Linked DNA regions of Rattus norvegicus. The main gene of each other region encodes a partner of the protein of the gene in region 4 in a complex. Links are inferred from orthologs where the notes say so. Each region holds a gene or a part of one and is shown on either strand. Other genes may lie near its edges. The genes, in order: Dydc1, Dnajb13, Nme5 and Lrrc23.

What was found.
Region 1: Lrrc23 (region 4) and Dydc1 share a complex: the UniProt entries of both Homo sapiens proteins name them as parts of the axonemal radial spoke complex. The link is inferred for Rattus norvegicus from reciprocal best matches to the Homo sapiens genes LRRC23 and DYDC1.
Region 2: Lrrc23 (region 4) and Dnajb13 share a complex: the UniProt entries of both Homo sapiens proteins name them as parts of the axonemal radial spoke complex. The link is inferred for Rattus norvegicus from reciprocal best matches to the Homo sapiens genes LRRC23 and DNAJB13.
Region 3: Lrrc23 (region 4) and Nme5 share a complex: the UniProt entries of both Homo sapiens proteins name them as parts of the axonemal radial spoke complex. The link is inferred for Rattus norvegicus from reciprocal best matches to the Homo sapiens genes LRRC23 and NME5.

Annotation. Positions count from the first base shown.
Region 1 is NC_086034.1:16,972,790-16,979,358, reverse strand, and holds the start of Dydc1 (DPY30 domain-containing protein 1), read right to left. Parts: upstream 4,328-6,569; 5' UTR 4,081-4,327; intron 3,580-4,080; exon of another isoform or gene 3,325-3,579; intron 1-3,324. UniProt on the Homo sapiens protein: Functions as part of axonemal radial spoke complexes that play an important part in the motility of sperm and cilia. Plays a crucial role during acrosome biogenesis.
Region 2 is NC_086019.1:164,261,890-164,266,852, forward strand, and holds part of Dnajb13 (dnaJ homolog subfamily B member 13), read right to left. Parts: exon of another isoform or gene 4,428-4,963; coding exon 4,270-4,427; exon of another isoform or gene 3,225-4,269; coding exon 3,111-3,224; exon of another isoform or gene 2,678-3,110; intron 1,425-2,677; coding exon 1,311-1,424; intron 816-1,310; coding exon 739-815; intron 354-738; exon of another isoform or gene 285-353; coding exon 131-284; 3' UTR 1-130. UniProt on the Homo sapiens protein: Functions as part of axonemal radial spoke complexes that play an important part in the motility of sperm and cilia.
Region 3 is NC_086036.1:26,440,302-26,446,325, forward strand, and holds part of Nme5 (NME/NM23 family member 5), read right to left. Parts: exon of another isoform or gene 3,714-6,024; coding exon 3,595-3,713; exon of another isoform or gene 1-3,594. UniProt on the Homo sapiens protein: Functions as part of axonemal radial spoke complexes that play an important part in the motility of sperm and cilia. Does not seem to have nucleoside diphosphate kinase (NDPK) activity.
Region 4 is NC_086022.1:159,274,037-159,280,785, forward strand, and holds the start of Lrrc23 (leucine-rich repeat-containing protein 23), read right to left. Parts: upstream 3,729-6,749; 5' UTR 3,634-3,728; exon of another isoform or gene 3,146-3,633; 5' UTR 3,099-3,145; coding exon 2,967-3,098; exon of another isoform or gene 2,885-2,966; coding exon 2,775-2,884; exon of another isoform or gene 2,078-2,774; coding exon 1,824-2,077; exon of another isoform or gene 1,206-1,823; intron 1-1,205. UniProt on the Homo sapiens protein: Essential for sperm motility and male fertility. Plays an important role in the proper assembly of the third radial spoke (RS3) head and the bridge structure between RS2 and RS3 in the sperm flagella.

The DNA.
Region 1 (6,569 bases), on a different chromosome or scaffold from region 4:
GGCCTTGCCTCAGCTGCTCTCCATGACCACTTTATTTCTTCCAAACCAGTACCACCTGTGTGGTTCTTACCCATTCCAAGTCCAGCTGCAGCACAAGGTGCAACCCGGAACACAGGTTCTGGAACACAGCTTCTTTGTGCTCTCAAAAAACACTTCCCAGATGTTACCTCACTGATATTGGTCTCTTCTTACTCACCACTAATTTCTTAACTGCAGCTAATCAGCATCAATTTTCCCAGTAGTCCTGTCTAGTTTTGACTCTACAGCCAGAGCTGTGTGGCTGAAGCTGGCGAGTCCTGCTGCTTGCCGAGGCTGGAACATTGCTCCCTCGTTCTATTACATTATTACCAGCCTTCTGTTTTCCAACTCCTTCACTGCTTAAGATTAGCTCTCCTGGAACTTGCTCTGCAAACTGAACTTCAACTTAGAGATGTACTTGTCTCAGTGTCCTGAGTTCTGGGATTATAGGTATGTACCATCACACCTGGACCTAAGCTTTCCTTTACTTAGAACTTGCTCCGTAGCAGACTGACCTTGAACTCAGGTATCTGTCTCTCTGTCCTCTCTTCTCTTCTCTTCTCTTTTCTCCTCTCCTCTCCTCTCCTCTCCTCTCCTCTCCTCTCCTCTCCTCTCTTCTCCTTTCTCCTTCTTCTCCTTTCTTCTTCTTCTTCTTCTTCTTCTTCTTCTTCTTCTTCTTCTTCTTCTTCTTCTTCTTCTTCTTCTTCTTCTTCTTCTTCTTCTTCTCTTCCTCTCTCTCTCTCTCTCCCCCCCCCCCCCGCCCGGGATTAAAGACATGTACCATAATGCCTGGACCTAAGTTTTTCATGGTCACTGTTCCTCAAGATCTGGATCAAAAGCATGTGTCATTCTACATCAAGATCCGAATCAAGCCTGTCTCTTCCAACCTTAAGACATGGATCACAGGTGTACTCTCCATTTCTGGACTGTAGTTCATTCTAGACTAAAAGTCAAAATGAAAACAATAACCAGGTAACAATACCTAACGTGATATATAACTATTCCTTGTCCAACTGCAAACACATAAACAATAAGCTTAGCTGGGTGGGATCTTGTCCTGAGGTCACCACTCCCTTAATCTATTTAATATACTTGAACGCAGGATTTCATTCCATTGCACTTCCTGGTGCCCATTTATTATTTGAACCATACATCTTGTAGTTTTTCTTTTTAGGCTTGCTATGCTTAATCAGAGCAATCTTCATGACAGTAATCCAGAGGACAAAGTCTATGCTGGGTGTTCCTGAGACTTTCTTTATCAGTGTGATTAATCTGAGTCCTTTCACCTGAGTCTCAGACAGACTCTTCAGACAAGGGAAAAGAGCAGCAACATTCTTCACCAAAGCATAAGAAAGATCTCCAGAGTTCAAATCACCAATATCTTCTATATTCCTACTAGGACGAACCATTAAGCCTCACTTGAAGCATTCCATGGCTTTCCAAATCCAAAGTCCCAAAAGCCACATTCCTCCAGCCAAAACCATGGTATCACAGCGATCCTCAGTCTCTGGTATCAGCTTCTGTGTTAGTCAGTGCCCGTGACCAAGGCCACTATTATAAGGACAACACTTAATTGGGGTTGGCTTGCATTTTCAGAGTTTCAGTTCATTATCCATAAAGCAGGACCATGGCAGTATCCAGGCAGGCATTGCAGGAGAGAAGCTGAGAATTCTACATCTTAATGTGAAGGCCTCCAGGAGAAGATTGGCATCCTCCTCAGGCAGCTAGGAAGAAGCTCTCAAAGCCCACTTTCAGAGTGACGCACTTCTTCCAACAAGGCCACACCTCCTAACAGTGCCACTCCCTGGACCAAGCATATTCAAACCACCACAGCTTCCCTTAAGACTCACCTCAAGCACGTCCCTGTCATCATATATCCTGGGCTCTTACCCCACTGAATATCCTGCCATATTCTAGCTATCACACTGTGCTTTCCCATCTCAATAATCCTTTCCTCTCTACTCTTGGAACATACCTCCTCCTTCGAGCCACAGATCATGTCTGGCTCTGGAGTTTTGTCAAGCAGTACAAGGGAGTTTCTCCTACTTCAAGTAGCTCATACAGCCCTTGTCATGCTGCCTACAAAGTGTATAAGAGAGTGTTAGTATGTGTGTGCATGCATGCGCATGTGTGTGCCCTGCTGTCTCTCCATGGTGGCAAGTAATCAAACGTGTGCCTACTCTCAGCTGTTCCCCAGTCTTTTCAGGTATGAAGGCAGATACGTGAGTATTTTTTAGGGTGACTATTTCTATTTATAGTTATATAGGATAACAGACCAAACAAATGATCCCACCCAAGCCCAGAATTGTGACCCAATGAGATTAAAAGACCAGAATATGTTCACCATTGCAGTTCTCGACTCCTGTCTCAAAGGTGCAGACTCAAGACTGGAGTGACATGTGAACGTGGTTATTCACACGTTATTATTATAGTCAGACTGAAAGTGCTGTCTGAATGTCCTGGCAGGGGATCAATTACATACAACACCATGGAATCCAGCCACAATATAAGGGGCTGGAAATGCTCTCTAAAATAGGCAGTGGTTTCCTAGTGAGGCACAATGCAGGAGGAAAAGGGAGATGTAGAAATTGCTCCTGCTTCCAAAGGAATATACACGTGTATGTATAGTGTAGCCCTAAGAACGACTGGAGCTGGCACAAATACGCTGATTTCCAACTAGATTGGCACTGGTGTCCTAATCACAGAGAGACAAACACGGCAACTGACTGGGCTGTGTCTTCACGGTGCTTCTTCTGTGGGAAATTCTCTATAGATAAGATCACCACATGGACGTATCAGTGTCATTTATATACAACATGGAATACACTCTTCCTGCTGCTCCAAAAACATAGGATCTGGGGCTCTGGCAGCTGCTTAGCGTTCTCCGTGGGGCTTTCATGAGGTCCCTCTGTCATCTCTGCAACATACATTTCCTGGTCAGGTTAGGAAACTACTAGCCATCTCTTCTGTCCTAAGAAGTGTTATTTCCCAGCAAACACCAGTGCTCATCCAGCTTCACAGAAGAAAGTCCGCTCCCACAGAAACATCTGGAGCAGCTGCTCTGAGACAATGGAGGAGGTTCTCTGCCAGGACCTGGGAAGAGTGCTGGATTCGGCACTCAAAACCACCGCAGACCTAATTTCTGAGAAACAATGAATAATTGTCTTATATATATTTGTGCTAGCAAGTAACCTGCTTATCTAAAAGTAAATTTCAATCAGGCAGCCACCAACCTAGACACTTAGATTAGTTTTCCTATTGGGTGGCTAGAGGGCGGGAGAAGGAGGGGGGGAGGAAGAAGAGAAAGAGGAGGAGCCGGAAGAGAGGAGGAAGGAGAAGGAGTCCTTGCGCTCCAAAGGCTCTTACAGGAGAACTAACCCTCCCTCGGATTCTGAGTTGAGACCTACTTGACTCTCAAGGTGAAAATTTTAGAACTGCTTCTGCAGAGACACTAGAGGGCCGGTTCGAAGGAAAACGCTCCAGCCTCCTTGGTGCACGCATCCGATGCACGTTCTGGCCACACGCCAGTGAGTCGCGTCCCGTTGCCTGGCAACGAGAGCACGCTCTAGTGTAGAGCTAAGGTTCCATTGCAGCCCAAGTAGTGGAGGCAAAGGGAAATGAAAGGAGAATTCGCACTCTAGGGGAGGGGGTGCACTCTCGATAGAGCCAGGAACGCGCACTGTAGGGGAGGGGGCACGCAGATGGGAGAACCAGATTTATGGGAAAGGAAACACTGTGGAGAAACAGCGGGAGGAACCCAGCAGACACGGGGACTCTTCTTAGATAGGAGCCTTGTGGAGCAGCAGATCTTTGAAGTCAGGAGAGACACTTTCAAGGCTGCAGGCTTGTTGGCTTGGTAATTTTAAGACCTTTCAGAGTGAACTCACGGGCTGGAGAGATGGCTCAGCCGTTAAAGGCTAGGCTCACAACCAAAATATCAGAGTGAACTCACACACAAGCAACTTCAGCTAGCCCAAAGACACCCTCCACCAGGCTCTAGCTTGCACTCTCCCCTGGTGTGCGTGGTTAGTTCTTGTCAATGTGACACAAACCTAGATATACCTGGGGGCAGGAAATCTCAAATGAAGAATTGTCTCCATCAGATTGACTCGTGGGCGTGTCTGGGAGGCATTTTCTTGGTTGCTAATTATGGGCATATGTCCACTATGGGGAGTGCTTGTCCCTGAGAAGGCAGGCTTGGGCTGTGTAGAAAAGGTAGCCGAATCAGCCAGAGAACGAAAGCCTTCCTTTCATGGTTACTGTTTCACGCTCACTCTCCCATTGCGTTGCTGGCTTGGCTTTCCTTGATGATAGACTGAGTGTAATCTGTAAACCAAATAAATTCTTCCCCCCTCCCCCCGGGTCATAGTGTTTACCAGAGCAACAAAAAGCAAACAATGGGCCTGGCATTGCTCGGTGGTAGAGGCTTGCATAAATGCAAGAAGGGACGCTGATGGATCAACAGAGTCTGAGCCCTTCCTTTGCCCACCCGCCCCCAACATCAGAGCACTCAGACATCTTTACTCGGTACTGAATGTGGGACAAGTGCCAGGGGTGGTATCCTCAGAGGGCTTGTCGCGTTTAAGCAGTGCAGCAGTCACTCAGTAATCCAGGCATGGAGAGACGCTCTGGCAGTGCATTGGTGATTCTGTGCTGGGATTCTACGAGAATAGCGAGAGGATCAGTGACTGGGGGTTGCACTGGGGATTTCGTCGAGCCACACATATATTCAATCTAAGATATCGGAAGTTGCACTTCACCAAACAACAACTCCTCGTCCGATCACATGAAGCAGCAGGGATGTGGAAAACTTAATCCACACAAACCCTTCTGTATGTTCCGTTTCCCTGTCTTCTGACTTCTAGAAGCTGTCTCTGGACATGATCTTGACTTTCATGCTCCTTCTTCCATGTGTTTTGTCACTCTGCCACCCTCCACGTCTGGCCTTACTGACACCTCTGGCAATTACAGCTGTGCCTATGTGGCGCTTTCCGTGAGAATGAGCCCGAGAGGCTCAGATATTTGAATGCTTGGTTGACAGTTGCTGCAACTCTTTTGAAAGGCTTCGGAGATGTCTTGTTGGAGGAGGTGTGTCACTGGGGGTGGACTTTGAGGTTTCAAAAGTCCACAGCAGGCTCGCTCTGTCTGCCCCTACCTCCAACGTGAAGACAAGCTTTTGAGAACTGTTCCAGCACCGTGCCTGCTTGTGCCCATGCTCCCAATCCCATGGCGGCTGTGATTCCCCCTCTAAAACTGCAAAGCTTCAAGTTAAGTGCTTTCTTTTGTAAACCGTCTTGATCGTGGTATCTCTTCACCACCAATAGAAAAGTAACTGAGAGGTCCCGCTTGTATAACACACACTCCTTATTTAAGATCCTTAATCACAATTCCAAAGCCCCCTTTATCATACAACATAACATCCACAGGTTCCGGGTTTGAGATTATGGGTTCCTGTGGAAGCAAAAATGTAGCACTGGAATAAGCCTTCAAGATGGCTCCTGTGTCTACATTGTCAGAGTCTTACTTCCTGGCATAATAAACTGTCTCTGGCTGCTTATATTTTTTTTTGCCCCAACCCTGGAGCCAAACTTTTCCTTAAGGATCTACGATCCCTTAATTCATGAACAATATTTAATCCCCCTTTGCAGCTGGGTATGGTGGTGCACACCTCGCATCCATCACTGGGAAGGGATCAGCAGGAAAAAGCATGTTCAACCATGGTGGGCTACCTAGGGAGTTGCTGGCAAGCCTAGCACAGTGAAACCCCGCCTCATGGAGAAAAACAAAGAAACAAAGAGTGCTGGCAGCATTCACTGCTCCTGGGGTATTTGCGATTCTAGACTCTGATATCAGTGAGGGGTAAAATGTATTTATATTTTCTATACCAATGTCTAGTTATTCAGTCGTGAGCTGAAAAACTGGGAATATGGAGGCTTGGTGCTAGGAACATATGTTGACAAAATCTTGTTCCGTAATAGCTCCTGTTTCTTAAATTCTTGCTGTATGCCAGGCTCAGTGCCTTTCACGTGATCAGTAGCTCCATTCGCTCCTTCCATATTGTGAGGTATGTATTTTACTTCTGTTTTCTAAAAGGTGCCAAGACTCTGAGACACCAAGCAACTTGCTGACGAGCACACCGCTGTAAGTGGCAACACCAAGACGTGGGCTGTCTGGTGCAGGTCTCTGTGCTGCTGTGGCTCTGCTCTGGTACTGCAACTTCTGTGTCAGACGACATTATCTGCCACTCTTGACACCTATTAGGAAATGCAGGATCATCCGCTCTCCCTAAAGCCGTGCTGTGGTATTGCATGTCAGATGAGGCTTGGCAGGCCCATCATTTGCAGGCCCATCATTTTCTTCCTCCTTCTCTCTCCCTGTAAAGTAAATGAGCCTCTGCTGTCTATGTCATAGAATAGCTTCCAACCTCACAATAGCACAGCTTGCTGTATACACAGAGTTTCTCTCCAGGGCCTTATTTTCTCTGTACTTAAGAGGGAATATTGTGTGGGTTGGTTAAAAGTCTTCAGCACCCTTGACTAATAATGAGCCAG
Region 2 (4,963 bases), on a different chromosome or scaffold from region 4:
GGAATCTTTATTATGTCAGCCTAAGATCTCGTGCTTCCCCATCTTCACAGGCTGTGGGGGCTGAGGGGGTAGGAGCGGGCAAGGCCCAGCTAGCCCTCTCCATCCCTGTTCCTGCTCAGGTCCCCCGGAATTAGGTCAGCAGTGCCTGGCGCAGCATCTGCTTCTTCTGGGGTGTGAGACGGGTGGGGAACTGGATGTCGAAGAAGATGAAGAGGTCTCCCTTCTTGGTGGGGTCCTCAGGCAGCGGCATCCCCTCACCTGGCACCATCTTGAAGTACTTGGGGCTGAGACAGAAAGAGAAGAAAGGAAGGAGCATAGAAGACTCACAACACTCCTGGAAATCCTTGCTCAAAGTGAGTACCCTCCTGGCTGGTCCCCCGCCCCCCGGGATTGCACAACTCTCCCTAGGATTCGAGGCCGACCTGGGGTGGGAGTCAGACCTTCGCTTCTCTGAGACTTTTCTTGGAACAAGACTTGGGAGCTACTGCTCCATGCTCTGATGAAGATTTTGGGGATGGAGACAAGAGATGGACCAGCACTGGGCTTCTCGGGCCTATGCAGGGGCTTCCCATGGGTTAGAGAAAGGTGATCCCACCATAGGGTGAACACAGCCCGTGGCTCAGGCAGAGGCCAGTGGATTTGAATCCTAGCCTGGGTTCCCAGGGTTCCCTGCACAGCCCTGCCAAGTCTTAGTCCATCTTCTCTGTGGCTACTTGGGGACTAGGCAGACAGACTCACTGGACAATGTCGTTGATGGGGATGTTGAGCAGCCGGTCATCAAGGGTCTTCACCTCCACAGTGCAGCAGGTAAGGGCCTGAGGGTGGGGGAGGTTAGAGTGAGAGAGAGGTCTACAGGGCATCACTGCAGCCATTCTATTTAGAAGGTGTCTGGGAGTCTACCTGGGTTCCAACCCTGAGCTAGGCAGTTCCGTGATGACAGAGTGTAAGGCTTTTGAGAGGCAGGGGTGACAGGCTCTGAATGCTGCCACACAGTAGGGGCAGCAGCTCTAGGGTGAGGTGGGCAGGTGTCCTCACCCTGAGACCTGAAGTGCAAAGAATGAGTCAACGGGGGCACCTTGAGGAGAACCACTTGGACATGTTGAGAGCCTGGGGACAGCAGCAGGACCAGGACAGGGTGGGAAGATGAGATGGGGAGGGGCTGTCCCACAGATCCAACTAATGCCAGGGAGAGAGATATAGGGCCCTGCCTGTGACTGCAGAAGTTGGTTAGGGGAGAAGAGATGGAACTGAGCTGCTGCAGGTGGGGTTCACTCTGGGCCCCCATGGCCTTCTGCGCTGTACCCACTCACCTTGCCCAAAGGAATGGGGTACACAAAGAAGAGGTTGTCCTGCTCCCTGCGGAAGCGAGGGTGCAGCTTCTCCTTTACGATGAAGATAATATCGGCCGGGATAATGTTGGGGCCCTAGGCGGGGAAAGCCAAGGGGTAACGGGTTTATTGCTTATATGATTTGGCCACATTTCTGTCTCTACTTGTCTCCAGGTCCTCACTGTGCAAGGAGAACTAGGCCCAGTTTTCTAGAGGGAGCATTCAGTGTGGCCTAGGGCCACCCTCTAGAGAAGCTTCCCTAGATCAAAATCACTTCCCACTCCCAAAGCACTTCTCTACTGAGCATGCTCAAAGTAAGTGTTCTCAGTAGTGTGGGGCAGGGACTTCCGCAAGTGATAGCTAGACCCTGAGCTGGGGTCAAACAGCTGCTCTGCCTAACAGAAACTCAGCAGTGATCTCTTCGCTTCAGTGAGCTGCCTCAACTCTGACCACTGAAGACAGAGAGCAAGAGCAGCTGCTGTTCCCAGGACAAGAAATAGTCAGATGGTCAGAAATTGCCTTATAGTCAAAAATTGTAAGCTCAAAGCCCAGATGAAGGGAGGGCCAGAGGTTAGGCTCTGAGGAGGCCCTGGGCCATGCCAAGGTTGGGAAAAGCTGGCCAGAGTGGAGGATGTTGGCACTGAATATCTATTTGCTTGCCTGTCTTCTCGCTTACTTATGACAGGGTCTCACTCTGTAGCCAGACTAGCCTGGAATTCGCTATGTCACCCAGGTTGAACTCAAACTCCTAAGGCTCAAGTGATCCCCTGCCTCAGCCTCCTGAATTGCTGTGGCTCGCAATGGCCCAGGTTGAAGCATGATTGTTGGAAGCAGGTGTTTTCCACGTAAGAAAGGGACAAGTGGGGGCAAGAGAATCCATCTCTCTCAGCTCTGAGCTGGCCATTACTGTTTCTTGTCAACATGTAAGCACTTGGGATCCTTGTACAATAACAATGTTTCCACAGGTATTTTAGCTTAATATTGTTATTAATTAAATGCTTCTGAACATCTTTCTCCTTGCACCAAGGAAAGACACTGGAAGGGAAGCTGAACTGAGTTCTCCCGCCAGGGGTGTGTGTGTGTGTGTGTGTGTGTGTGTGTGTGTGTGTGTGTGTGTGTGTCCCACTGTGTGTGTGTTCCTCTGTCTCTGTCTCTCTCTGTCTCTGTCTCTCTGTGTATGTGTGTTCCTCTGTGTGTGTTACACTGTGTGTGTGTTCCTCTCTGTCTGTGTGTATGTGTGTATATGTGCACACGCGTGTTTCCTCTGTGTGAGCACAGGCCTATATTCATGTATGTGCTGGCGGAGGCGACAAATTGACACTTGCTCTCCATCTTATTTTTTGAGACAGGATCTCTCCTGACCCAAGAGCACATCAATTCAGACTGGCTGTTCAGTAAACCCCAAGATCCTCTGTCTCTGCCTCTCCAGCACTGGTATCACAGGGGCTCTGCCAATGGCGCTGGGGACCAAGTCCAGGTCTCCATCCCTGGGTGGTATTGGGTCATCTCCCCAGGCCCTTCTTTCAGCCTTTTGTGTTCATATCTTGAGCAAGTTTCTTCCATCTCGGACCTCAGTTTCCCACTGTGGAAAATGGTAGTGATCTCCAAGCTGAGCTCACAGAAGCATTGGGATGCTCTGTCCCTGGGAAGGGGCTCTGGGGACCACCTAACTCTAGACCAAAACTTGTAGGAACAGGAAAAAAATGTGTTCCTTCCCTCTCGGTCCCCCCACTACCTGAACCTGGTGACTGACTGCCCCGAGCCAGCTTCTCTCCCTCTCACCTGGTCCCCTTCCTTCTCAAAGGTGATGCGCGTGCCCTGCCTCCACCCAGGCCTCACATCGATGGTCAGGATCTTGTCCTTGATGGTAGAGGAATACCCATCTTCATTTAGCACCTACGGTGACAGGGGTAGGGACGGGGAATTGTCTCAGGGGAAAGGCCCTGTAGGGTGTACTCTGTACCCATAGTAATGGGGGACTAGAGTCATTCCCACTCCCATCCCACTGTCACTAGATTTAAGAGCTTGTGACTCTCCAAGGCAAGGCATGTCCTCAAGTTGATGAAGCTGTGGCCTGAGACACCAGTCACCACAAGTGCTGGCCACCAACAAAAACATAGTGAAAGTTTCCTATCTCCAAATCCCAGAAGTCTGGCCCTAATCCCAACGTCCTCCCTATCCTACACTAGGCCCCACTACCCCTCAGTGTCTATTACAAGATCACTAGAGACCCCAGACTTCGGTTTCTAGGAAGTTACTGGTTCATATGAAGAAAGAGGGGGCTGGTCACAAGCATGCAGTGGACCTCTCAGAAGGCAAAATACTGAGCCTCATGCAAAGCATCCCTTCCCCCACCCCTCCATTGTGCCTGCAACCCCATGAGCTCACAGTGCCACCTTTGGACAGCATGGCCACAGTGGGTATCTCCCCCAGGCAAAGGGGAGGAAGAAGGCTGAACCACAGGCCATAGTCAGGTCAGTCCAAGGACTACTACTACTCACAGCAACTACTCACAAGGGTCTTCGCTAAGCTGTCGCCTTAGAGACTGTGCTGCCCACCTCCATGCCCACCCTGTGGCTGAGGCACACAGTCCTTGGGGTGTGGTCTGTAATGCCCTGGAGTGAAATGAATGGCAGATTCTTTCTACTCCCACTCCTCCGCTTTCCACTAGGGTGGCTGGACTGGGAAGGGAGAGACCCTGTTCCCATTAGATAGATGCAGAAGGGACTTCTGTACCAGAAAAAAAGGCTGAATCTTTATATTATTCATTCAAATTTCGATTCTAAAGTCTAAAGTCTAAAATTGCTGAGTCTTTTGACCTAAGAGTTTCATGATTCCATCAGAAAAGGTTGCCAAGTTTTCCTGTTGGGGGAGGGGGACCTGCCAGGGAGGTTTGTGGAGGTAGATGGTGCCTGGTAAGGGGAGCCAGCCTAGTACTCACCCTTCGGGAGATCTTAATTTTTTTGGTGCAGCCAAAGAATAAGTCCTCCAGGGACAAATAGAGGTCTCGTTCAATTGGAGGGTCTTGTTTCTGGACCCCTCGGCCCCGAAGCCCCCCAAAATTCAAATCTATATCATTTCCTTCTGCATCAAAAAATTCTAAAAGAGATAGGAGGATGAGTAACAGAAATGATGTCCAAAGACACAGATCAGATAGACAGACAGACACACAGACACACACAGAGACACAACACAGATGCACACAGAGATGCACACATACACAGACACACACAGAGACACACAGAGAGACACACACAGATGCAGACACACAGAAATGCACGCATATGCACACATACACAGAGACACACACACAGATGCACAGACAGACACAGATACTGAGACACACAGAGATGCACGTATACACAGACACACACACAGATGCACAGACACAGAGACACACAGAGATGCACAGACAGACATAGATGCACAGACACCCACAGACACATACACCCCTATATTCCCTTGAACCTCTTCAGTGCCCCAAGAATAAGGCTCAGCACAGCATTCCCACCTCTCAGACCCATGGACCAAAGACTATCTGTTTTGTTTCATTTTGTTTTTGGCCTTGAATTCAGGGCAATCCTCCTACCCCAGCCTCCTCAGTGCTGGGATTACACGAGTGAGCTACCACACTT
Region 3 (6,024 bases), on a different chromosome or scaffold from region 4:
AACTACGCCATGCTAATACAAAGAATAAGAAAATGGAATCCAGGTGTGGTGGCTCACTCCTGTAATCCCAGCACTAGGGGATGAGGGAGGTCTAGAGGCAGGAGAATAACAAGTTTGAGCCAGTCTGGGCTATATAGCAAAGTCCAAGGCCAGCCTGTGCTACATAGCAAGATCGTGCCTGAAAAAAGAAAGGCAGGCCTAGCAAGGCAAGGAAGGTAAAGTAGGAGAACCAAGACCTAAGGCCTGGGCTGGGGCGATGGCGTGTGTCCTGCTCTCCCAGAAAACCTGAGTTCAGCTCCCAGCACCCACGTCAGGCAGTGCATAGCCACCTGTACCTCTAGCTCTAGGGAAACTCACACCATCTGCCCTCCTTCTGTAAAGAAGCAAAGAAAAAAATGATTTTTTTTTCTATAAAGGGTTTAAGACAGCTTGGGCTACAGAAAGAGACCTTTCCTCAAAATTAAATAGAGTGTGTCTGAAGAGATGGCTCTGCTGTTAAGAGCACACGTTGGTTTTGTTTAGGGCCTGAGCTCCATCTCCAGCACCCATATGTCTGCTCACAGCTGCCCTGACTTCAGTCTCAAGAACCCCACGTCCTCTTCTGACTTTTCCAGCCACCAGGAAAGCATACAGTACACAGACATATATGCAGGCAAAACACTCATCCATATAAAATCAGTGAATCTAAAACTATATACTAAATAAATGACCGAAATCAAAACAGAAAACCTTGAAACTATTACTTGTGGCGGTAAAACAAGTACAGCTCAAAGGGAGAGGTGAGCCTGTCTTTGTCGTAGAAGGCAATGATCCCACAGGAACGAACTCCATCCAGAGATCAGCTACGGTTCCTCCTGCCTGTAAGCCCAGCACTCGGGAGACTGAGGTGGAGGGGCCTAGGTTCAGGGCCAGCCGGCTTTACAAAGGACTCACCCCCCAACCCCCACCTCATCTCTCTTTTTTTCTTCATTTTTTAAAAGAGATTTATTTTATTTATATAAATACCCTGTAGCTGTCTTCAGACACACCAGAAGAGGGCATCTGATCTCATTACAGATGGTTGTGAGCCACCATGTGGTTGCTGGGATTTGAACTCAGGACCTCTGGAAGAGCAGTCAGTGCTCTTAACCACTGAGCCATCTCTCCAGCGCCTGTCTTTCTTTCTGCCTCTGTCTCTCACTCACATTCATGCGTGTGTGTGTGTGTGTGTGTGTGTGTGTGTGTGTGTGTGTGTGTGTCCCACACATGTTGAACTTGAACCTGGATTCAGAGTTCCCAGACAAGGTTCCCAAACTCCTGGCAGGATGCTCTCAGCATCATGAATATGCAAATCAGCCATTGTCACATCTACTAGGGCAGCTGTTAATGAGCAAGTAAAACAATAGACACGGTGGTGCAAAGAGAAACTGGAGCCCTCACACCTTGCAAATGGGAGGGTAGAATGGAACAACCACCCGTGTAAAAGATTGGGCAGTTCCTGACAGGAACCGGACTGGAACTGAGCAGTAGCTCCAGTAACAATAACGAGCCCAGTAACTGCATTCCTATATACTGACACACAACTGGAAACTGGACTCACACGATCGAACGGGCACTATTCACCCATGGAAAGGATGGGATCGTGACACATGCTTGTCACTACTGACTGGCTAATAAAACAGTGAAATAAGCCAAACACAGGTTTATATTTTTCTGTGTTGGAAACTTGTCTTAGGGTTTCATTGCTGTGAAAAGATAACATGACCAAGGCGGCTAACTCTTAAAAAGGCTAACATTTAAGTGGGGCTGGCTTACAGTTTCCGTCTTTTATCACGGCAGGATGCATGCAGCAGAAGGGGACTGTCTTCTGCAGGCAGCCAGGGGGAAGCTCTCTTTCTGGTGCCAAGCCTCAGTCCTTTGCGTGACCCATTTAGTCCTGGGCTTTCAAGGGCCACTGAGGCTACACCTTCACCTTTCCTGGCCTCTCACAGTGTCCAGCCTCGGCTGCTCTCCATGACCCCTTCATGCCTTCAAAACCAGTAAGTACCACTGGGATGATCCTTACACATTACCAAGTCCAGCTGCAGCACAAGGCACACCATTGGCTGTGTGTGGAACATAGCTTCTTGTGCTCTCAGAAAACACTTCCCAGAAGATTGATGCTGGTTTCTTCTTAATCACCGCTAATTTCTTAGCACCAGCTGACCAGCATCAATTGACCCAGTATCCATTCTATTATTGACGGTAAAGCCAGAGCCACATGTCTCAAGCCGCCCGGGGCTGGCCTCCTTGACTATTACATCTTCACAAGTTTTCTGTTTTCAGTGATTTCCTTCGTTTCCTAAGCCTGCCTATCCTGGCTTTGTAAACTGACTTTGAACTCAGAGATCTGCATGCCTCTGTCTCCTGAGTACTGAGTGCTGTACAACCATCAGACCTCAAAGCCCCAACTCCACAATGACGCACTTCCTCTAACAAGGCTCACCTCCCCCAATAAGGCCACACCACCTAAAAGTGCCACTTCCCTTGGGCCAAGCATTTTCAAACCACCACAAAGTGAAGCCCCCACCACTTTGGCTATGCCCAGTAAGTGCCCTGCTATCACACCACACCCCTAACACCATGTGTGCTGCCGGGAAGGCATACATGCCAGAGTGCACCTGTGGAGGTCAGAGGGCAGCTTTTGGGAGCTGATTCTCTACTTACATTCTGTCCCTCCCCAGTCCCCAACACACACCATTGAGGGGGTTGTACTGGGTCTCACTATATAGTCTTGACTGGCCTGAAATTCACTGTGTGGACCAGACAAACTTCGAATTCACAGAGATCTGCCTGACTCTACCTTCTAAGTACTGGGATTAAAGGCACTGGCCACAGTGACCAGTCTACCTTTTTAAATTTTTTTTTCTTTTCTTCTCTTTTTTTTTTTTTCCGTTCTTTTTTTTTTGGAGCTGGGGACCGAACCCAGGGCCTTGCACTTCCTAGGCAAGCGCTCTACCGCTGAGCTAAATCCCCAACCTTTTTTTTCTTTTCTTTTCTTTTCTTTTTTTTCTTCGGAGCTGGGGACTGAACCCAGGGCCTTGCGCCTTTTTAAATTTTTATTTTGAGGCACTGTCTCACTAAATTGTCTTGCTTGGTTACCACAGAGTCAACACCCAAGCAAGCCTCAGAACCTGTGAGTCTTCAGACTGAAAGAATAAATATTTAAGTAGGCATGGTGGTGTCTTTAGTCCCAGCCCTCAGAAGGCAGAGGCAAGTAGATCTGTGAGAGCTTGAGGCCAGCCTGGTCTACACAGTGAGCCCTAGGACAGCCAAGACCACATAGTGAGACCCTCTCTCACAAACAAACAAGTTTACAGTTTGAAATATGAAAACCACAAACAGTAAGTATTCTCCAATGAGAATAAAAAAGTATCTTACGGGGGTTGGAGAGATGGCTCAGTGGTTAAGAGCACTGATTGCTCTTCCAGAGGTCCTGAGTTCAAATCCCAGCAACCACATGGTGGCTCACAACCACCTGTAATGAGATCTGATGCCCTCTTCTGGTGTGCCTGAAGACAGCTACAGTGTACTTATAAATAATAAATAAATCTTAAAAAAAAAAAAGTATCTTACGTAAGGATCTGCTGGCTTTTGCTTGCAAAGCTCTGTGAGTCCTTGAAGTAGGGTTGGTGCTACGTACAAATTCAAATAGTCCTTAGCAGCTTGTCCAATTGGAATGGGTTCGATAATCACTGCAAATACAAAGAAGTTCTTACTAAAAAGCAAATATAAGTGATTAAACATTATACAGCTATGAGAAAAGGGATGCCTTCAAGAGTGTATAACTGTCATGATGTGAACTTTAAATCTGAGTTTTACATCTTTACATTTATTATTAAGGTATTATAATTGATATTATTACTGGCTATCTGGTAGGGTCTCCCTGTAGTCCAGGCTTGTATAGAACTCACTAGGCTAGCATCAAACCCACAGTGATCTTCCTGCCTGGTCATCTGGATGCTGTCATAGCAGTTGTTATGCCTACACTGTACCTGTTTATTAAGGAACTATTTACACATGGTGCTTGCTAAATTTGTGATTATACAGAGAAATAAATATATTTATTTATTTTATGTATATAAATTACACTGTAGCTGTCTTCAGACACACCAGAAGAGGATGCTGGATCCCATTACAGATGGTTGTGAGCCACCATATGGTTGCTGGGAATTGAACTCAGGATCTCTGGAAGAGTAGTCAGTGCTCTTAACCACTGAGCCATCTCTCCAGCCCCCATAAATACAATTTAAAATTAAACTAAATAACAATAACCCACACACACAAGAGAAGAAGCCAATCCAAACCAATGCTGGCAGCTGCTCAGGAGGCTGGCCCAGATAAATCAAACACGCTCACAGGTGGATAGCAGGTTTGCCCGTGGATAGGACATTGAGACCTTGCCTCAAAGCAGAGGGCTGGACAAACAGGCTGCATGCAGTGCATGCCTGAAATCCCAGTGCTCAGAAGGTGGAGGAAGGAAGAGCAGTAGTTCAAGGCCAACCAAGACATACGGGCCTGTCTCAAAATAAAAAAAAGGGGGGGGGAGGAGCTCAATGGCTAAGGTCAACTTTTCTTCCAGAGGACCCCAAATTCAGATCTCAGCACCCACATAAAGCGGTTCACAACTGTCTGTAACTCCAACTCCAGGGGCCCAATGCCTTCTGGCCTCTGAGACCATCTGCTCGCATGTGGTATACATTCACATAGACATGAACAAAAATAGGATAATCTTAAAAATAACTAGGTAGGGGCTGGGGATTTAGCTCAGTGGTAGAGCGCTTACCTAGGAAGCGCAAGGCCCTGGGTTCGGTCCCCAGCTCCGAAAAAAAGAACCAAAAAAAAAAAAAAAAAAAAAAAAAACTAGGTAAATAAAGGAGGCCTAAGCAGCTCACTGGCAATGGTTTGCCTGGGACGGAGCCCTAGGTCCACCCCCCAGTACGTAAAGACAGCACACTATTCCTCTGTATGTCTGCTTTTTAAAGGCTCACCGGCTTCATGATTTCAAATTGGAGGAAATGGGAAAAGAAGTGGAATTATCATTTCCACATTGATTTATGACTTTCGTAGCTTGTTTTGTTTGGAAAAAGACAAGTTTACTGAGTGCAGAACAAAGGAGCAGTGATTGGGGCGGAGACAGAGCGCCCCCCTGCACTATTCTTGCTAATTTGTTACCTCTTCTATGCTCCACCCTCCACGTACCAACAGGTTTCTGAAGCCTCATGGGTAATTAGGAAGAATTACAACAGAAACAGAGTATCTAGTTCAGGAGAAAGAAAGAAAGAAAGGAAGGAAGGAAGGAAGGAAGGAAGGAAGGAAGGAAGGAAGGAAGGAAGGAAGGAAGAAAGAAAGAAAGAAAGAAAGAAAGAAAGAAAGAAAGAAAGAAAGAAAGAGGGGTTGGGGATTTAGCTCAGTGGTAGAGCGCTTGCCTAGGAAGAGCAAGGCCCTGGGTTCGGTCCCCAGCTCCGGAAAAAAAAGAACCAAAAAAAAAAGTCAGGACCACCAGCCCAGGAGTGGCACCACCCATAATGGGCTGGGCCCTACCCCATTGGTCACTGTGGAAATGCCTTACATGGCATGGAGCAAGGAAGCGCAAGGCCCTGGGTTCAGTCCCCGGCTCCAGAAAAAAAGAAAAAAAAGAAAAAAAAAAAAGGAAGGAAGGAAGGAAAGCAAGCTAGCAAGCAAGCCCCTCTCTAGAGCTTCCCAAGGGACACTGTAGGTGATGTTTACTTTTCTACTTTTGGCTTCTAGACTTGTTTTGTTTGGTTTTCTGGTTGTTACTGCTTTTTAAAGAAACACTTATTTTATGTATATGAATGTTTTGTCTGCATATATGTACCTGCACCAGCTGTATGCTCGGTGCCCAGGGGGGTCAGAGAGGGTGCTGGAGTCTCTAAATTAGAGTTGGGAACTGCAGTGAGCCCACATGGTGCTTGGAACTTAACTCTGGTCCTTTGCAAGAACAGCCAGTGCTCTCAGCTGCTGAGCCTTCCCTCCAGCCCGTGG
Region 4 (6,749 bases):
CTCTGATGTGGGGTGGAAGGTGAGGGAGCTCTGAGGCAAGTAGACCTGGGTTTGCCCATCTATACTTTGAGAATGAATTGCTAATGCCTGAGCAACACTCATGGCCGACGTCCTTCTTCCCTGCATACCTTTGGTCAGGTGGCATTTCACCTAAACAACCAGTTTAAAATTGTCATTTGTGCTGGGCCTACAATTCAGACCTGTAGGCCCAGCTACTTCTACCTAGGACCCTGAGGCAGCAGAATAACAAGGCTACGGCCTTCCTGGGCTACAACTGAGTGAGTTCAAGTGCAGCTTCAGAAATTTACAAGATGCCCCTCTCCCCAAAATTAAAAGTAAATTCTGGGGTTGAAGAGATGAATTTAATGGCTCAGAGCACTGCCTGCTCTCCCAGAGGCTCTGAGTTCCATCCCTAGCAGTCACGTGGTGGCTCACATGGTGGTTTGAAATTCTTGGCCCATGGTGTCTCTTCACAGCAACGAAACCTTAACTAAGACAGAAGTTGGTACCAGGACGGGGGTGTTGCTCTGACAAGCCTGATCATGTTTTTGTTTGGAGAAATATGGACTTTGGGGCTGTCGGATATTACCATGAAGAGACACGATGACCAAGGCAACTCTTTAATTGGGACTGGCTTACAGTTTCAGAGGTTCAGTCCATTACCATGTCTGAAAGGCAGATATGGTGCTGAAGGAGCTGAGAGCTCTTGATCAGAAGGCGGCCAGGAGGAGACTCTGTATCAAACCAGCAGACTTAAGCATATATGTGAGACCTCAAAGTCCCACCTCCACAGTGACACACTTCCTCTAACAAGGCCACACCTCCTCCAACAAGGCTTCACCTCCTAAAAGTGCCACTTCCCATGGGCCAAGCATATTCAAATCACCACACCATCCATAATGGAATCCAATGCCATCCTCTGGTGTGCAGGCCTACATGCAGACAAAGCACTCATGCAAAAAATGCATAAACATGCTAACCTTTAAAAATCTTTTAAAAAATGAAATAAAAAGTCATAATAGGGCTGGGATATGGCTCGACAGAAGAGTGCTTGTTTAGCATGCACAAGATCCTAGATTCAGTCCCTTGTACCAGAAGAGAGAGAGAGAGAGAGAGAGAGAATGGCACTTGTGCATTTTACAATCTTTCTCCACTCTATTTTCTATAGAATTTACCTCCTTTTTGAGTTATGCTTTGTTCTTTAGACAGGGTCTCACCCTGCGAGCCAAGCTGACCCAGACTGCCTTTGAACGTCATCAACCCTGCTCACACCTCCAGTGTGTAGGGTCCCAGTTGTGAGCCTTCATACCCGGCTTCTATCTACTTACTATGTTGTTATCTGTTCAGCGCCCTAAACAGAGTGGACTCTACACGAGAATAGAGACTTCTGGCTTTGTTCAGTCAGCATCTCCAGCATAAAGAATCTTATGAGAGGCTGTAGAGATGACTCAGTGGTGAAGAGCCCTGGTTGCTTTTTCAGAAGACCCAGGTTCGGTTCCCAGCACCCACATCAGGCAGATTCCCCAGAAGCTGACATTTTCTTCTGGTCTACACAGACACCTGCATGTGCCCATGTACATGTAATTAAAAGTAAATTTTTAAAAAAGAACGCAATTAATTTTAATAGGCCTCTGTTTTCAGCTAGGCCCTGTATAAGTATATAGACAAGGCTTTACCGCTGCGTCAAAGTCCCGGCCCAGCACGTGTCTTAACCAATGAATGCCTGTATACAGATGGCTGTGTGGCTCATAGCATATACTGCCTATTTCTGTCAGCTCCATGCAAGGAAGGGAAGTTCTGTGTGTGTCTTCCTAAGAACCCACCTTTGAGATCCAGGCTTCCCAGACGGGGATGGATGATGCCTTCGGTGTCTGTGATCTGGTTGTAGGAGAAACTGGCGATCTGCAGGTAGGGCAGTTCGTTCAGCCGGGCGCTCCGGAGCTGATTGCCGTCTGCCTTGAGCCACAGTAGGTGAGTGAGACTGTTGAGTGGTGACATGTCTGTGATATGGTTCTCAGAAATATCCACGTAGCGGAGGTGGATGTAGGAGCGCAGTAAGGAGATGTCTGTGAGGTCCCTAGGAGATTGGGGGGCCAGGAGAAGATCCACCATAAAGGATAAGAACATTTGTGCTAGGCCTACTAGTTCAGACCTACAGACCCAGCTACTACTACCTAGGACCCTGAAGCAGCAGAATAACAAGGCTGTGGCCTTCCTGGGCTAAAACTGAGTGAGTTCAAATGCAGCAAGAACAGAGATGTTCGGACAGAGAGCAACGCAGAGATAGCTTGTACTGGATGACGGAGAGGGAAGGGAAAGAAGAGGCAAGTGGGGTTTTTCTTCTTGTTTTTCAGTGCAGAGATCAAAACTAGTACCTTGCCTCCTAACCACTAAGCTACATCTCTGAGACTCCACTATGAAAGGATGCCAGAGCTTCCCACGGAAGTTTTTTTTTTTTTTCCAGAGCTGGGGACCGAACCCAGGGCCTTGCGCTTGCTAGGCAAGCGCTCTACCACTGAGCTAAATCCCCAACCCCCCACGGAAGCTTTAATGTGTTGTCTTGGCGCTGGGGGGTGAACCCGGAGCCTTGTGTATTCTAGGCAAGCTCTCTACTGCTAAGTCACCCTCCCAGTCACCAAAGAGTCCCGGAAGTTCTGAAAAGCAAATCCCCACCATTTCTTCCCATCAGCTTGGGACCAGAGAGAGAGCTCTAGCCAAAACACTCAGGAGAGAGAGAGGGAAGGCACGTGATGCTCCCGTCTCTCAGTCCTCACCTGTCCTTAACCTCCAGCTTAATATAAGCGTGAGCCAGTCCACTGCCAATCTTGCAGAGTAATGAAAGCCCTTCCTTCATCATGGCCTCCGTGAGGGGGGTGGGCAGCCACTGCAAGAGGTGGGTAATTCAGGCATCCCTTTGCAGTCCCCCTCTAGTCCTGAGCCCGGGGAGCCCTGGTCCCGGCTCTCACTTCCTCAGAGACTTCTTCCCCCTCCTTCCTGTAGTCGTCTTCCCAGTCCTCCATCTCATTGTCATCCTCTTCTTTTTCCACTTCATCCGGCTCCTGATCAAAGTCATCTTCCACATCATCTTCATCCGACATCTTTCTCTCCCCTGCGCTCCGGAGTCAGACGAAACTCAGTCCTGGTCCTAAGAAAGGAGGTCTTAGCTCCCACGCCCACCAGCCCTCCAGTCCCTCACATCCACTTACGGGTACCCTACACATACAGCCTCTGTCACCTCTGAACTCCCAACTGCATATCTTTCCTCATGTTGGAGAGCGTCTTTGGACTCCCAGTCTCTGCTTGGAGCCCCCCGCCCCTCCCCCCGCTCCCGGCTCCCTTCGGGACACTTTCCCACACTCCCAAACTGTTCCTGCCTTTCCTTGCCTCCAACTCTGCCCCAGCAGCCCAGCGTCCTCCTTCCTGAATTCCCTTTAATCCAGTTCTACATGTCCTCCTAAAATCTCCCCTACCAACTCCTTCTCCCCTTCCTTACCCACACCTCACTTCCAGGTTCTCTTCCACCCCCAACCCCTATTCTTCTAATGCGATCTCCCTGCTTAACACCACCATTTCCCTGACACGATAACGTCTTCAACCCTCCAACCCAGTTCGCCTTCAGAAGTGGGAGCAGACCCTGACTCTGCTCCTCTAGAAGTAGTTATGAAGAAGATCTTTGTGCTGAGAGGCCAGGACTGTTTTTTTCGGAAGACGCAACGGGGTAGCAGGAGTTATATACTGTTGTTATGGCAACGGGGGCGGGATGCTTAGCTTTGCAGCCAGCTTCCGTTGAGAGCCTGGAGCACCTCAACCGCAAAGCACAAACCCTAACGCCCCTATTTCCACCCTCAGCGGGTAGTGCAGTGGTTGCCAGGTTACGAGGCCAAATTCCTAATCCCAGGAACCTGGAGGAGGCGAGAAGAGAGTGTCACGGACTTAATTGTCGGGGGACATAAAACAATGGTCTAATTATAACAGCAGCGCTGAGAAGCGGGAGGGAGGCTGGGCTGGCCTTTAAGTCCTTAAAGCAACTAGATGTCTGGATGCAAAGGAATTGTAGACCATCCCTAAGAAGCAAAAGGGGGATGGATGAGAGGAAAGACACTAAGAGAAGCAAGAAATACTACGTTATGGGATTTGTTGCTGGTCGGGTTTGGCTCATTATTTATTGGAAGGTCTTGGAAGGTGGACTGGTGGAGCAAACTGCTTTAAGACCCAGCTTGTGACCCCGGCGACTCCCTCTTGCAGGTGATGGAGAGATGGCTCAGCGATTAAGAGCACTGGCTGTTCTTCTAAAAGATCTAGCTCCATTCCCAGCACCCACATACCATCTGTAACTCCTGCTCTAGAGAGATCTGACGCCCTCTTCTGACCTCTACTTGCACAGAACAGGCACATGGTGCATGAATGTATGTATGCAGGCAAACGAGCATACATATAAAATAAATTATTAATAAATTAATAAATCTAAAACAATAAAGTCCGACTTGGAGTCGGTTTTTTTTTTTCTTTTTTTTTCGGAGCTGGGGACCGAACCCAGGGCCTTGCCCTTGCTAGGCAAGCGCTCTTCCACTGAGCTAAATCCCCAACCCCCCCCCCCCCCCGACTTGGAGTCTTGGCAGTTCTGCAGTTTACTAGCAGCTATCTAGAATTCTGTAGAATAAACGTAACTTTAACAACTGAGCAGAGTCTGCTGAGTTACTCTGGGTCTTTGCTGTGGCTGCTTTTGCTGTGAAGCAGTCTTTCTATGTAGGCCAGGCTGTCTCAAAGTCACTCCTTTCCCAGCCTCCTAAGTGCTGGGATTACAGGTGAGGGCTACCACACCCAGCTAGCACTATCTTGTGGAATCTAAGGAAAAGAGAACACTTAATACAGGAAGACATGGGACTAATTGTTACATGCTTTATATAAAATGCAAATCGGAGGCCAGAGAGATGGGTCAGTGGTTAAGGACCTCGTGTACTTGCAGGGGACTCAGGCTTGGTTTTTGGCACCCACAAAAGGTGACTCACCACCATCTATAACTCCATCTCTAGGGGATCCAATGTCTCTGGCCTTCACATACATACCCCGCCACACACACACACACGCACACACGCACACAACCATACACTTAGTTAAACTAGTCTTTTTAAAGATTGCCACGTGGTCTGATGGAATATGTGTGGGCTGAAAGTTAGGAAGTGTTCCTTTGGATCAGTCTGGCTTGAAGAACATAATAGACAAATCTGTTCTATTGGTGTCAAGGAATGGGGGCTCTAGCAACAGCACTGGGTTTAAAGTATAAATACTGGGTTCCAAATGGCTCTATCACTCTATAGCTGTGTGTTCGTCAGCCTAGATTACCTAAAGATATATTGCTGAATTATGCAGGGTAGCACACAGCCGTAAACGGCAGCTCTCTGTTGAAGCAGGAGAATGTTCCAGGCTAGCCTGGGCTACTTCAAAATGAAACAGCGCTCACCTCAAAGGAACAGAGAATTTCCAAAAACAATATAAGTGGCTTTGTACTTGATTGACCCTTAAGTAAACAAATCCCTGCCCCTGCCCCTGCCCCTGCCCCTGCCCCTGCCCCTGCCCCAGGATTCTCAGTTCTGAGGCTATCGTGAGGAGAGAAATTAAAAATGATATTTTGAGACAGAATTGTCATTGTGTAGACCAGGATGGCCTGGAATGAACTGTGTGACCCAAGCTGGCCTCAAATGCACAGCAACCTTGCCCCAGCCTTCCAAGTACTGGAATTAGAGGCAAAAAGAGTAATGTTAATGTACTCCAAATGCCGGAAGTGCTTTGCATGTGGAAGTGTGTTAAGTGACACAGTCCTGTAATCGCAGCACTTTGTTGCTGAGGCAGGAGGATTGAAGTTTTCGTGAGCAAGAAAACCCACCAATCCCTGAAATTCCCACAAAACCCACCAATCCCTAAGCAGGAACACCTACCAATTCCTGAACAGGGAAAACCATCCATTTCTGAGCTCCCCAAGATCAGAACTTGAAATCCCACCAATCCTCAATCTGGAAATCTCTGCCCTGAAGGTCTCCACCCCCAAGAAACCCTATGTAAACCCTGCCTTTTGTCCAATTCCCTGCTGTGCACTCCTGGGAGCAGAGGGTAGTCATCCCTGGATTCGTCCCTCCACTTCCTGGACCCTCCAATACATTTCTTTTGTGAGATTTGCTGGCTGGTGTGACTCTCTCAGCGGAGCCGAGAAGCAATGAAGAGCAGACGGGGAGAGGTGGAGTGGGGCTGGGACTCCTGAGCTCCTGAGCTCAGCTCCCCTGAGAGCTGCACCTCCCTCTGTTGAGGAGACATCCTCTCAGAGCCATGTGGTTCCTGGGCCTCCACGTCCTAGGATCCTCTTCCCTCCATGCAGGAACACTGCTGCCACCTGCACCAGTCTAAAAATTCCTTTAATCCATTAGAAATTCAGGGACCACAGGTCAGCCCGGGATCCATGGCTTCAACAGAGGAAGAAATTGCAGGCTATCTCATGAAATATCAACAACGCAACTGCTCAAATTAAACCAGAACTGAACAAAGGGAACCTAGTTGACGTGCTAAGGTGGATGGAAAACATCTCACACGTCCCAGCCCTGGATGAAGACCTGAGTGAGAATTAGTCTTTCCCAGGACGAGTCTTCTAAAAGGTTATCCAACGGGCTGGACAGATGGCTCAGTGGTTAAGAGCACCTGACTGCTCTTCCAGAGGTCCTGAGTTCAATTCCCAGCAACCACATGGTGGCTCACAACCA